Sus scrofa: one gene and its partners. The protein of the gene in region 3 interacts with the protein of the main gene of each other region in a biochemical or structural test. Links are inferred from orthologs where the notes say so. Each region holds a gene or a part of one and is shown on either strand. Other genes may lie near its edges.

Region 1 (3,741 bases), on a different chromosome or scaffold from region 3:
TTCTCTTTCAGAATCAGAAAGAACAGCAATACAAACGACCTAATATGTGTGCAAAGCGCTGCTCTTTCTTTTTCAAAATTTTCGTCTCGTTTTTGAAGTTTTACTGACGTATAGTGGATTTACAATGTCGTGATCATTTTCTGCTGTACCATCTTCCTTAAACTTTGACCCAGAAATGTCACTGTCTGTTCCTAGGGAGGACAGCAGCCACCAGTTAAACGCAAGCCAGAGGAGAGCATACCACAGCCAAGTTAAATGCAGGAGGAGTTCCCGTCGTGGCACAGTGGTTAACGAATCCGACTAGGAACCATGAGGTTGCGGGTTCGATCCCTGCCCTTGCTCAGCGGGTTAAGGATCCGGCGTTGCCATGAGCTGTGGTGTAGGTCACAGACGCGTATGTGCCATATGCCGCGGGAGCGGCCCAAAGAAATAGCAAAAAGACAAAAAAAAAAAAAGTTAAATGCAGGAACACAAGGGCGCCATGGTCCTTCCCTATCAGATCTGGCCAAGTGGGGGCTTGTTGAGCCACTCGGGGCAGCCAACTCAAGCTCCCATGGGGTTCCTACCGACACCCTGCAGCCCAGCCACACTCCACCCTCCTCAGAGGTCCTTAGAGACAATCAGCTTCATTCATTGTAGCTGTTCCATCTGCTTTTTATTTATTTTTGTCTTTTTAGGGCCGCACCCGTGGCATATGGAGGTTCCCAGGCTAGGGGTCCAATCGGAGCTGCAGCTGCCGGCCTCCACCACAGCCACAGCCACAGCAGATCTGAGCTGCGTCTGCGATCTATACCACAGCTCACAGCAACGCCGGATCGTTAACCCACTGAGCAAGGCCAGGGATCGAACCCGCATCCTCATGGGTGCCAGTCAGGTTCGTTACTGCTGAGCCACAATGGGAACTCCTCCATCTGCTTTTTAAAATTCTCCGTGTTTCTACCCAGCATGCCCATGCTTTTGCTACTTGGCTGTGTTGTCTTTAGACGGAACTCGTCTCCTGTGAGGTGGAGGAGAATTGAAGCCGCTCTGCTGCGAACCTTCTCCCCTCTCGCTGGCTAAATCTTGCGTTAGAGTGAGTGGTGACGGATGGGCCTTCCCCGCTGACCCCCCAGGGCTGGAGACCTTTCAGCCCTGCCATCACTGCTGAGACAATGGTGGATTTGCACACAGACGTGAGAAACGGACAGGGCAGGTCCCCAGCACACGTGACCCAGTTTCCCCCAGGGCCGAAGCCTTCGAGACACTGATGACGACAGCTGCCTGTAACGTCTCAGTCTCTTCTAACTCGCGTGGCTTCGGTGGCTGTCACCAGTGGCTGAGCAAGGTAGGAGCCTGGTTCTTTCTGAGGGGTGATCCCAGGACCAGAGCAGTGGGCAGGGTGCTGCTGGCTTCTCGTCCTGCACCCGTGGGAGCGCACCACTGTGATGAAGCTGGAGCCCTTGAAGGGCAGGCAGTGGCTCTGCGCCACCCCCTCGGCCAAGGCAGGTGAGCGCCTGTGTGCGCTTGGCTTTGGGGAGTGCGTGGGAGTCAGGCGAGCACTCAGATCTGGGGTGTGGGCACCCACCAGACACACCTTGACTCCTGGCCATCACCGCAGGTGTCTGCGGAAGCCCCTTCCCAGCCCAGTCCGGCCTGGAGCCTCTTTCCAGCACTCTAGCACCGAGGAGGTGAGCACTGGAGCCAGTGTTCAGGGAGGTCTTTCCCCACCCCTGCAGAGTCTGGCACATGGTCACCACATACTAGAGGCAGGGTGGGAGCCCTGCAACCCCATCCTGGCCCTGACCTCAGCTCAAGGTGGGTCCACCGCCCACACAGCTCCCACCTGCGTTAGGTGTTCATTGAGGGGTGACATCGGCAGGCGGCGGTGGGGATGGGTGGGTGCTGGACTCGCCCCTGCAGCTGGGTCTTTATCTCACCTCTCACTGAAACCCCAGGGAGGGAGAACAGCGTCTCCCAGAGGTGGGGCCGCCGCTACCAATCCTGGGGGGCACGGCTGGCAGGCGCCCTGACTCACCTGCAGCGCAGCCTCCGGGTCCCCCGCCAGCAGGTGCACGCAGCCCACGTTGAAGCTCATCCTGGCAGGCGGCTCTGGAATGCCCGAGAAGAGGCGCAGGGCGCAGCCCCAATCTCCGCGCGCCACAGCCTGCGCGCCCCGGTGCCAGTCGCGCACCAGGTCCCCGAGCGAGAGCATGGCGGCGCGGACACCAGCCTGGCCGCACGGCGGAAATCGGCGCTTCCCGGCCGGAGCGCGGCAGTGGGGTCCCGTTAGGGGTCTGGTGGGGTGGCTGGGGGCTGAGGTCCGCGAGGCAGGGACCCGGGGAGCCAGAGATCGGCGTGGAGCTGCGGGGACCCTCCGAGGCGGACAGGAGGGTCGGCAACTGATCCAGGAGCCAGGAACTTGGGCGGTGGCGGGGGGGGGGGGGGGGGGGGGCGCCAGGTGTGCCGAGCCTCCTGCGGCCCACGGCGCCCCCTGGCGGCAGAGCGGCCACACTCCGTCAGCCCCGCCCCCCACTAGCGGCCGGGCTCCACCCACAGCCACGCCCCCGGTCAAGCCCCGCCCCAATTGCCTCCCGCCCCGCCCCAACTTGAGGCCTGGCTCCTCCCCCGAGCGAGCCCCCCCCCCCCCCGCACTATCGCCTGAGGCTCCTCGCTCTCGCGCTTCCCGGCCGCGTCGGCCTCGGTGCGCTAGGAAAAGCCATCCGGCCCGCTGCTGACGCCGCTGCCGCCGCCGGGCCAAGGTTCCGGGCGGACCCCGCGGGCTCAGGTGAGCGACCTCGGGGCGCGGGCCGAGTCTGCGAGGGGCGGGGCCCGAGGAGCCCGTCCTGGGCCGGGGCTCGGGTCACAGGCGGTCTGGGGCCTCCCGCGCCCGCGGCCAGCCTGGACACGGACGCGGCCGGGAGGGACCCAAGGGCGGGTCAGCGCTCACCCGCGCTGGGCAAAGCCTGTCTAGGACCCCAGGTCGGAGGCTGAGGCCCGCGGCGGAGGTCATCCGTCAGGGTGCCGTGTCCTGCCCCGGGGGAGACCCCGCCCTCCCCATCTTTCTCTCAGCCCGTAGGACTGTGGGCAGGTGGGCCCCACTGAGGGTGGCCGGGGCTCGTCCCTGGAGGTCGAGCACAGAGCTGCTGTGTGCCCTCCCGGCAGGGCACAGGTCCCTTGTTGACCTTAAAACGGCCAGTTATTTTATCAGCAAAATGGGTTTATTCAGGAACAGCGGAGAACTGCAGCGCAGGACACGTGGGCCGTAGCGGAAACGACAGGCGAGTCCCGCTCGTGGCTCCTTAGAGAAAAAGGAGGGCGTGGGGCGGGGCTGCTCGGAAGGCGATCCCATTGGAGGAAATGGAGGCCGGGCGGCGGGGGCGGGGCTGTGCGCGCGCCTCTCATTGGCTGGGCTGTTGCCGGGCTGGGGAACAATCTTCCTTTCCCCTGGGTAGCAGAGGAGTGCCGTCTCGCTTTTAGGAGTGCAGAGGTAGCGTCTTCCCGTTCTGGTCTGCAGACCTAGGAGTGGCGGTGTGTGAGAGCTCCTGTGTGCATGGGGTTCCCTGTAGTCGGTTTCACACCGCGAACACCAGGAGGTCCCCCCCCGCCCCCGCTCCTCCACAGAGAAAGGAGAAGCATCTCTCCAGCCTGATGCAGCTGCAGACAGAGGGAGGTCGTGCCTGCCCCTAGGGCCCTGGGGCAGCACCATGAGCCTCTTCTCTAAGTCGGCAGGGGGAGGGGGCTACAGGTGCCTCAACCTGTCCC
Region 2 (3,741 bases), on a different chromosome or scaffold from region 3:
CGGGGGGAGGGAGCCGAGGACCGCTGCGGGCACGCGGGGGCGGCTCAGCTGTGACCTGGTCGCTTTGAGGCTCCGCTTTGTGCGTTTCCAGCTCCACTGTTGGTTGTGGATTATGTACCTGCCCCGCGATTCTCCTCGCTGGGGGTTCGTGGTCGCTGTCGCTGTCGTCCTGGGCGAGTCTGCCTCTCCCAGCCCTTTACCTGGCTCTGTGGGGGCTGTGCTGCGGGCTGCGGGATCGCGGTTTTTCTCCCCAGTAATTTCGTGGTGGTGGTACCATAAGCCTGGGGCTGGGGGCATGAAGCCCTCCCACGGTGTCGGGCCGGTCCGCGCCACCCGTCCCCAGGATTTCCAGGGGTTCCCTGGGTACAGGTTTCCTGGCATCTAGAAATGTGCTTTGTCCAGGCTCCACGTGGTGGTCTGCTGGGAGCACCAGCTCACTCCTTCGCTTGTCCAGCAGCTTCTACTGTGTCCATCAACCGTTTCTTTACCCTTTCTCCCGCTTTTGGGACATGCCACTTGTTTCCAGTTTGGGGCCGTTTTGAAGAAGCTGACAAAGCTCGAGTTTTTACACCGGAACCAATTTGATAATGACTGTAACACTAGGTTGCAGATAAATCCTTGTTTTATTTGCTTTTTCTCTTCAACAAGAGTTGTTTGTTGCTTCTGCTGCCTTCTGCTGACTAGATCAAACTTTAAGATTCCGCTTCTGGATCCGTGTGTGGACCTTAGAATGTGCAGCTCCAGTCTCACCCGAATTACCCTTGACTATTAATCGTTAACAGTCAGTGGACTGTCCTTCCCTCTGGACCCGGCTTTGCTACTGCTGGACCGCATCCTTTGGCAGTCCTGTCCGGTGACCCCAACTTCCTCATTGGTGGTCCCTGTGCCCCAGGGGGAGGGAGGGGAGCCCCGCACCAAGCCCAGCGCAGGCCTGAGTTTCCAGCGGTTGTGTCTTGTTGGTGACTTTCCCATCTGGACTCCGGTGGCAGATGGCCCATTTCCTTGCAGGGAGCGATCTGGTCTGTTTCTGGTTCAGGCAGCCCTCCCCAGCTCTGGCTTCAGGAGTGCAGCTCAGCTTCATCCCCAGATCCCACTGGGTAAAAGCCCTGACTCCCGGCACCCCCGGCACCTCAGCCGCCTTCACGCCTGCCCGCTGTGCGGTCAGCACCTTTGCGAGCTGTCGGGAGGGAAGGGCCATTTCCTGGGCTTGGGCAGCACCACGTCCACACGTCCCGGGGTGCCGTTTCCTAGGCCTGAGCCTCGTCGTCAACAGGAGAGGCGCCAAGAGGCCAGGGGTGCACGCAGGGCCTCCGGGTCCGGCTGGGACTCAGCGCTGCATTGTTGTGAGGGCATGTTAGGTGGGGGTAGGTGGGGCTAGCTGCTCTGAGAGCAGGTGGATGTGAGCTGAGAGGTGAGCGGGGGAGTCGGCCCTTGAGCTCCCGGCTGAGAGGCTGGAGGGGCGTGCTCAGCCTCCGTGGGGCTCCCTGCAATTACGGGGATTGAGGGCTGCGGGGTGCCTGGGCGCCCAGTTGGTACTGAGTCAGGAGGAAAAGTCCTTTGATGGTAGAGGAAGCTGAGTTGTACTCGTAAGTGGAGCCGCGGCGCGGCTGACCTGTGCTTGGGGGGTGGGGGGCAGCTGAGGTCACAGCTCCAGGCAGAAGTGAGGAGAGAGCCACCCACTGACCCACTGAGACTAGACCAGAGGCGGGCTGGCCTGCCTGGACACAGAGCAGCCTGTGGGGGCACCCCCCAAATGTGACCACCTGTGCTCTCCTCCCCGGGATGGGCCCCAGGTGACCGTGGTGGGCTAGGCCCCCCCTTTCCCGTATTTCCCTCCCCTTCGTCCGCCCACTCCCCCGGGGTGCAGGGCCTTCCTGGGAGGGCAGAGCCCTGAGCTGCTTCCTCTTGCCTCAGACCCTGCCCCTCCTGAGACATTCCAGCATCCCAGTGTGTCCCAGTGCGTCGTCCCAGTACAGGCTGCAGACCTGCTCCCCCACCAGAGGCAGGCCCTGGGAGCTGGGTGGGAGGGGGGCACAGGGGCCGTTTACAGCTGCCAAGTGCAGTGTCCTGAGCAGACTCAGGGCTGGGCCCCAGAGAGAGGGGTGGTCCTGGGCGAGGGAGCCCCCACGCCAGGGTAGGAGGGGCCATGGGGTGCATCAGGCTGGGTTTTCCCAACCCTGCTGGGCAGTGACTCTCCGGAAACCACCGGGGGTTAGGGGGCGGTGGGCGGGGGCAAAACGCCTTTTCTCCGACTGCAACTTCCTCTTTTGGGGGAGCGGAGAAATGGGGAGATTAGAGGATGGGGGTAGGGCACGATGGGTCTGCGGGGGCCTGAGGGCCCCCAAACCCCCTTCCGCAGCCCAAAGCCTTGGCTCTGGTGGCTGCAGCCTGCTCCCAACACGAGCCCCCAGATTCCTGCCCGCCGCGAGCTGCACATCCAGTCTCTGGGCCTCCAGCCGACTTCCTGGATCATCAGTACCCCCCACCCCGAGCCTGCCCCTTTGCTCCTTCCCCGATTCCTCAGCCTGCACCCTGGGGTACCCGGGCCCTGCTCCCTCCCACCCCCCCAACCCCCCGGCCCCCCGCCAGGTTGCCGCCTGCCCGCGCTCCAGGCTCAGCCACCCTCTGCAGCCCCCAGTTGTGGGAGCCCCGGCCCCACTCACTCAGGCCAGACGCCAGCGCCTGCTCGTTGGCCCACATGGCCCACTCGATCTGTCCCATGGCGATGGCACTGCCAGCACCACCAGACGCAGCTCAGACCCTTCCACCCGCTGCCCCAGGGCTCCGCCTGCCTCCAGCTCCGCCCCCAGTTCCCCCAGTTCCGGCTCCGCCCACCACCCAGCCCCAGCCCGGGTTCCCCAGGTGACAGGCCTGGCCAGCAGGCGGGGTCCCAGGGCTGCCTGCGGAACCTAGCCCCCACCCCCTTCACGAGGGCCTGGGCACCAGAAGCTCAGGAAGGGGCCCTGCCCGCCTACCCAGGCCTTCTTCCTCGGCGGGCCCAGAAGCCTGGCCTCGCCAGACTCCTGCAGAGGGAGCAAGGGCTCAGGCCAGGACCCCCAACGCCCCAGCCTCGTGGGGCTCCCTCCCTGGAGCTCAGTGCAGTGCAGGCCCAGCCCCCACCCCACCGGGCCCTGCACTAAGGCAGGGGTGGCCCGGGGCCACCACGGGCAGCGGGCAACCCTTTGCTCAGGGATTAAGTTGAGGGTCTGGGGAGCTTCTGAGAAAGTCCAGGATGCAGGAGGCCCAGGCCCTGGCCTTTTGCTGCCTCCTTCCTCCGCCCCCTGCAGGGTCAAGGTCAGCACTCTCCAGCCAGCAGGTGGCTGACCCTTGGGAGGAGTCAGAGGGCGGTTAGGGCAGTGGGGAGGGACGCGGAAGAGCAGCTCCCTGGGAAGGAGGGCCTGTGGGTTCAGACGGCAGCTTCGGCCCGTCAGCCCTCCTGCCCGCAAAGCCGTGTCCCACCCTCCTTCCTGGGCCCAAACCTTGTCCCCAGCTGGTCAGCCTTAGTGATCACATCTGCCAGGTGTGGCCATGGCTGTGGCTGTGGGGTGAGCAGGGGCGGAAGGTGGGTCCCGTCCCGCGCCCGCTTGGGGTGAGCGCTGCCCCGCAGGGTGACCCAGAGAGAGCAGGCCAGGCAGAGCCAGTTCCACAGCCTTTACTTCACTTCTCGGCACAGAGGATGCTGCACGCGCGGGGCCTGAGCTCAGGGTCCGGCAGGGCACGTCCAGGAAGCGTCCCAAGACC
Region 3 (3,702 bases):
CACACCCTGTCTGGGGATTCTGACCCATTGGGTTAAGGATTCGGCATTTCTCTGCAGCTGCTCTGGTGGCTTCTGTGGCGAAGGGTTTGACCCCTGGCCCAGGAACTTTCACATGCTATGGATGTGGCCAAACGGAAACAGAAAACAAAAAACAAACCAGCAGAGTCCTAGTCACCACCTCTCCCGTCCCCCAAGTGCTGGTGCCTGGAGGTGGATGCTCTACATCCCGCCCCAGGTCCGTCCACCGCAGGGGAACTGATGCTCTGAGCCTGTGAAGTCTGTCTTTCCCCAACACGTACAGACAAAACCCCTGACAGTTAATAGCCATTTAACATAAATTCCTCCTCTGTGACTTGGGGACGTTAAGAGACCTTTCCTCCTGGACCTCCCATCATGGCTCAGTGGTTAACGAAGCCGACTACTGTCCATGAGGACATGGATTCATTCCCTGCCTCACTCAATGGATTACGGATCCCGTGTTGCTGTGAGCTGTGGTGTAGGTCGCAGACATGCCTCAGTTCCCGCTGCTGTGGCGGTGGTGCAGGCTGGCAGCTACAGCTGCTATTTGACCTCTAGCCTGGGAACCTCCATACGCTGGGTGCGGCCCTTTAAAGAAGAAAACACAGAGAGACCTTTCCTCTAAAGAGAGGATTACACCAAAGCACTTAAAGCCTTTGGCACCGGGCCACTGGTTCCTGATGACCACTGCAGACAGCTCCCCAGGGAGTTCAAAGCCAGAGCCAAGGGCCCTACGTTGGGTGTGGGAGGGGCCAGGCCTGGCGGCACTTTGATGGCTCTTCCTTCTCCTCCTCCCAAGGCCAGGCTCCTCTGATAGGAGGGCCTCAGGGTGCAGTCCCAGCCCCCCCACTCTGCTTCTCCTCCCACCCAGGCCCTGTGCTCCTGCCCCTCCGCTCCTCAGGTCAGGGGTGCAGTGAGGAAGCTGCAAAGGACCCAGTCGGGCAGGGAAGTGCGGCCAAGACCTGGCAGGGCTGGGGCACCGCTGGGGAATTCCAGTCTTCCGGGTGCCTGGCAGGCGGGGAGGCAGTGGACTGACCCTTGGCCACACCCGACAGGCTCCAGAAGCTGACGACAGAGACCCGGGGCGGCCCCAGTGATGGCAGGCCCGCGGCACCCGGTGTCCGTGAGCGGGGCAGCTCTGGTGCAGACAGAGAGGCTCCAGGTAGGAACCAACGGGACACCTGCCGGCCGCAAGGGGCAGGGAGGGAGTTCCCAGCCCAGTCTATCCAAGACGCCCCCCTTCCTCCACCAGACATTTGCCTTTTCTGTGCACTGGTCGGATGAGAGCGAAGCCTTTGTACGCAGAAGCTGGGACGAGTTCAGGAGACTCCATGTGAGTGGGCTTCTAGCCCTCAAGACCCTGGCAAGGGTCCCCCACCCTCGCAGGGGCACCCAGTGGGGCCTCAGAGACCCACATGCCCATTCTTGCCCTCAGAAGACGCTCAAGGAGATCTTCCCGGTGGAGGCGGGCCTGCTGCGGCGGTCGGACCGCATCCTCCCCAAGCTTCCTGGTCAGGCCAGCGGGGATCCCAGCAGGGGTGGGGGCGGCAGCGGTCTGATGGGGGGCCCTGGGGCGTGGTACCATGCTGTGTCCCCACCCTGCCCCCAGATGCATCGGCGTTGGTGCACCGGGGGCGCACGGGCCGAGGCCTGGCGCGCCTGCGGCTTCTGGAGACCTACTCAAGGGCCCTGCTGGCAGCAGGAGAGCGTGTGTCCCGCAGCCCAGTACTCACTGGCTTCTTTGCGCCACAACCTACAGACCTGGAACCTGCGCTACCACCTGGCAGGTGTCTGACACCCCCCCACCACACCACCGACTCTGCTGGCAGAAGCATTTGGAGGATGGGGGAGGCAAGGTGGAGGGAAAGTCAGTCCCGCAGACCTCACCCACCCTCTGCTCTCGCCAGCCGGGTGATCCTGCCCACCCTGGAAGAGCCCCTACCAGGCCCCACAGGCAGCCTTGCCATCCACAGCCTGGAGGCTCAGAGCCTGCGCTGCCTGCAGCCCTTCAGTACCCAGGACGTGTGGGGTCAGCCGTTCTACGCCGGGGCCCAGGAGGCCCTGGGTGTGCTGCTGCGACACCCCTCAGGTGAGTCTGGGGACACGCCCTTCTGCCCCTGGGGTCCCAGTAGGCCTCAGGATCTGAAGCACCCCGCCCCTTGGGCACAGGCTGGTGGCTGGTTGTCAACGAGGACCAGCAGACGGCATGGTTTCCTTCTCCCTACCTGGAGGAGGGGGCCCCCGGCCCAGGACGAGACGGGGATCGGCGCCTGGGGAGCCACAGTGAGACCAATTCCCCTCCCCACACCCACCACGACCACCACCGGGCCGTGTTTGGCAAGGACGGGCCGCAAGAAGTACCCAAGCCAGGAGAGGGAGGCTGTGGGACAACTGGGTGGTGACAGTGGCCCTGCCGTGTGTGTTCCCCAGAGTGAGCCAGAGACCCAGTGGGTTGAGCGTGGCCCCTGGTGTCAGCAGAGAAACGAACAGGGGAAAGCCTGGAGATGGTGACGTGGCAGGAGACAGCGTGGGGACTGAGGCAGGGCGGGGGCCTCCGGTCCCAGGTAACCACCAATGTCCATTCCCAGGGCCCCAGTTCTGCGCCTCCCGTGCCTACGAGAGCAGCCAAGCTGATGAGCTGTCAGTGCCCGTGGGGGCCCGTGTGCATGTGCTGGAAACCTCGGACCGTGGCTGGTGGCTGTGCAGGTGCCTGTGGCAGGGCAGGGCTCTGGTGGTTCGGCCAGGGGCAGACCCGGTGCTAACCAGCCCCGCCCTCCCCACAGGTTCCAGGGCCGCACCGGTCTTCTTCCTGCTGTGATACTGCAGCCCGACGGGCTGGGCACACTCCTCAGCGGGCCCCGGCTCCACCCGGGGGCAGATGGAGGGGAGGACAGGGAGGGCGAGGCCCGAAGCGCCCCCAAGTCCCCCCAGGCCCAGGCCCTTCCCCCGCCCGTGCCTGCCCACCCACCGCTGAGTGCCATCCGGAGCCGCTGCTGCACCATCACCCGAAAGGCGCTGGGGCAGGACCCAGGGTGTCAGGGACCGCCTTGAGTGCGTGTGACCCTCGTGGGGGGGCTGTGGGAGGAGCAGCTCAGGGTGGGACTCCCTGGCTGGCAGGGACTTGTCCTCTGAGTAAAGCTCTCCTCACTGACCCCCACCCAGTGGCGGTGCTCTGTGGGCCTGTGGGGTCTCAGCCAGGGTTGGGGCTGGGCGGTGGCCCAGGCCCTGGGGTGCGACAAAGCCCAGACAGACACAGGGAGCAGAGATCAAAGTCCATTTTTCTGGGGGTTTAGAGGGCTGGGGGCGCTGCGGGGAGCGTGGGCAGCTTCATGCTGTGCCACAGGAAGTCCAGGAAGGCGGCCGCCTGCAGTGTCCGGCTGAGCCGCTGGAAGTGCCGCTCTGGGGGGGGACAGCAGCTGTCAGGGCCCACGGGTCTGGCGGCCGGGCCCCCGCCCTGATCCAGGCAGCCCACATACCAGTGTAGGGCAGCAGGGCCTCAAGGGAGGCCCGCACGCCATCGTAGGCCAGCAGCTCTTCCGGGGCCTCGTGCCGCAGGAGCATGCCCAGCACAGCCTGGGCTTCGTGGCAGTGCCGTGAATTGGTGTTCCACGTGACACAGAAGCGCAGCAAGGCCTCTGGGGGTGACAGGGACGGTCAGACCTGCCTGCCAGCCACCCCAGGCTC

What was found.
Region 1: the proteins of NOXO1 (region 3) and NOXA1 form a complex in vitro, tested with the Homo sapiens proteins (2 studies listed by IntAct). The link is inferred for Sus scrofa from reciprocal best matches to the Homo sapiens genes NOXO1 and NOXA1.
Region 2: the proteins of NOXO1 (region 3) and CYBA form a complex in vitro, tested with the Homo sapiens proteins (3 studies listed by IntAct). The link is inferred for Sus scrofa from reciprocal best matches to the Homo sapiens genes NOXO1 and CYBA.

Annotation. Positions count from the first base shown.
Region 1 is NW_018084833.1:549,334-553,074, forward strand, and holds the start of NOXA1 (NADPH oxidase activator 1), read right to left. Parts: upstream 2,419-3,741; 5' UTR 2,192-2,418; coding exon 2,015-2,191; intron 1,325-2,014; exon of another isoform or gene 896-1,324; intron 1-895.
Region 2 is NC_010448.4:1,014,199-1,017,939, reverse strand, and holds the start of CYBA (cytochrome b-245 light chain), read right to left. Parts: upstream 2,722-3,741; coding exon 2,664-2,721; intron 1-2,663. UniProt on the Homo sapiens protein: Subunit of NADPH oxidase complexes that is required for the NADPH oxidase activity that generates, in various cell types, superoxide from molecular oxygen utilizing NADPH as an electron donor.
Region 3 is NC_010445.4:39,986,462-39,990,163, forward strand, and holds NOXO1 (NADPH oxidase organizer 1), read left to right. Parts: upstream 1-878; 5' UTR 879-1,114; coding exon 1,115-1,180; intron 1,181-1,270; coding exon 1,271-1,351; intron 1,352-1,453; coding exon 1,454-1,529; intron 1,530-1,627; coding exon 1,628-1,805; intron 1,806-1,925; coding exon 1,926-2,107; intron 2,108-2,187; coding exon 2,188-2,301; intron 2,302-2,606; coding exon 2,607-2,724; intron 2,725-2,801; coding exon 2,802-3,069; 3' UTR 3,070-3,179; downstream 3,180-3,702. Other genes in the region: TBL3 (transducin beta-like protein 3), read right to left, coding at 3,308-3,417, 3,495-3,653. UniProt on the Homo sapiens protein: Constitutively potentiates the superoxide-generating activity of NOX1 and NOX3 and is required for the biogenesis of otoconia/otolith, which are crystalline structures of the inner ear involved in the perception of gravity.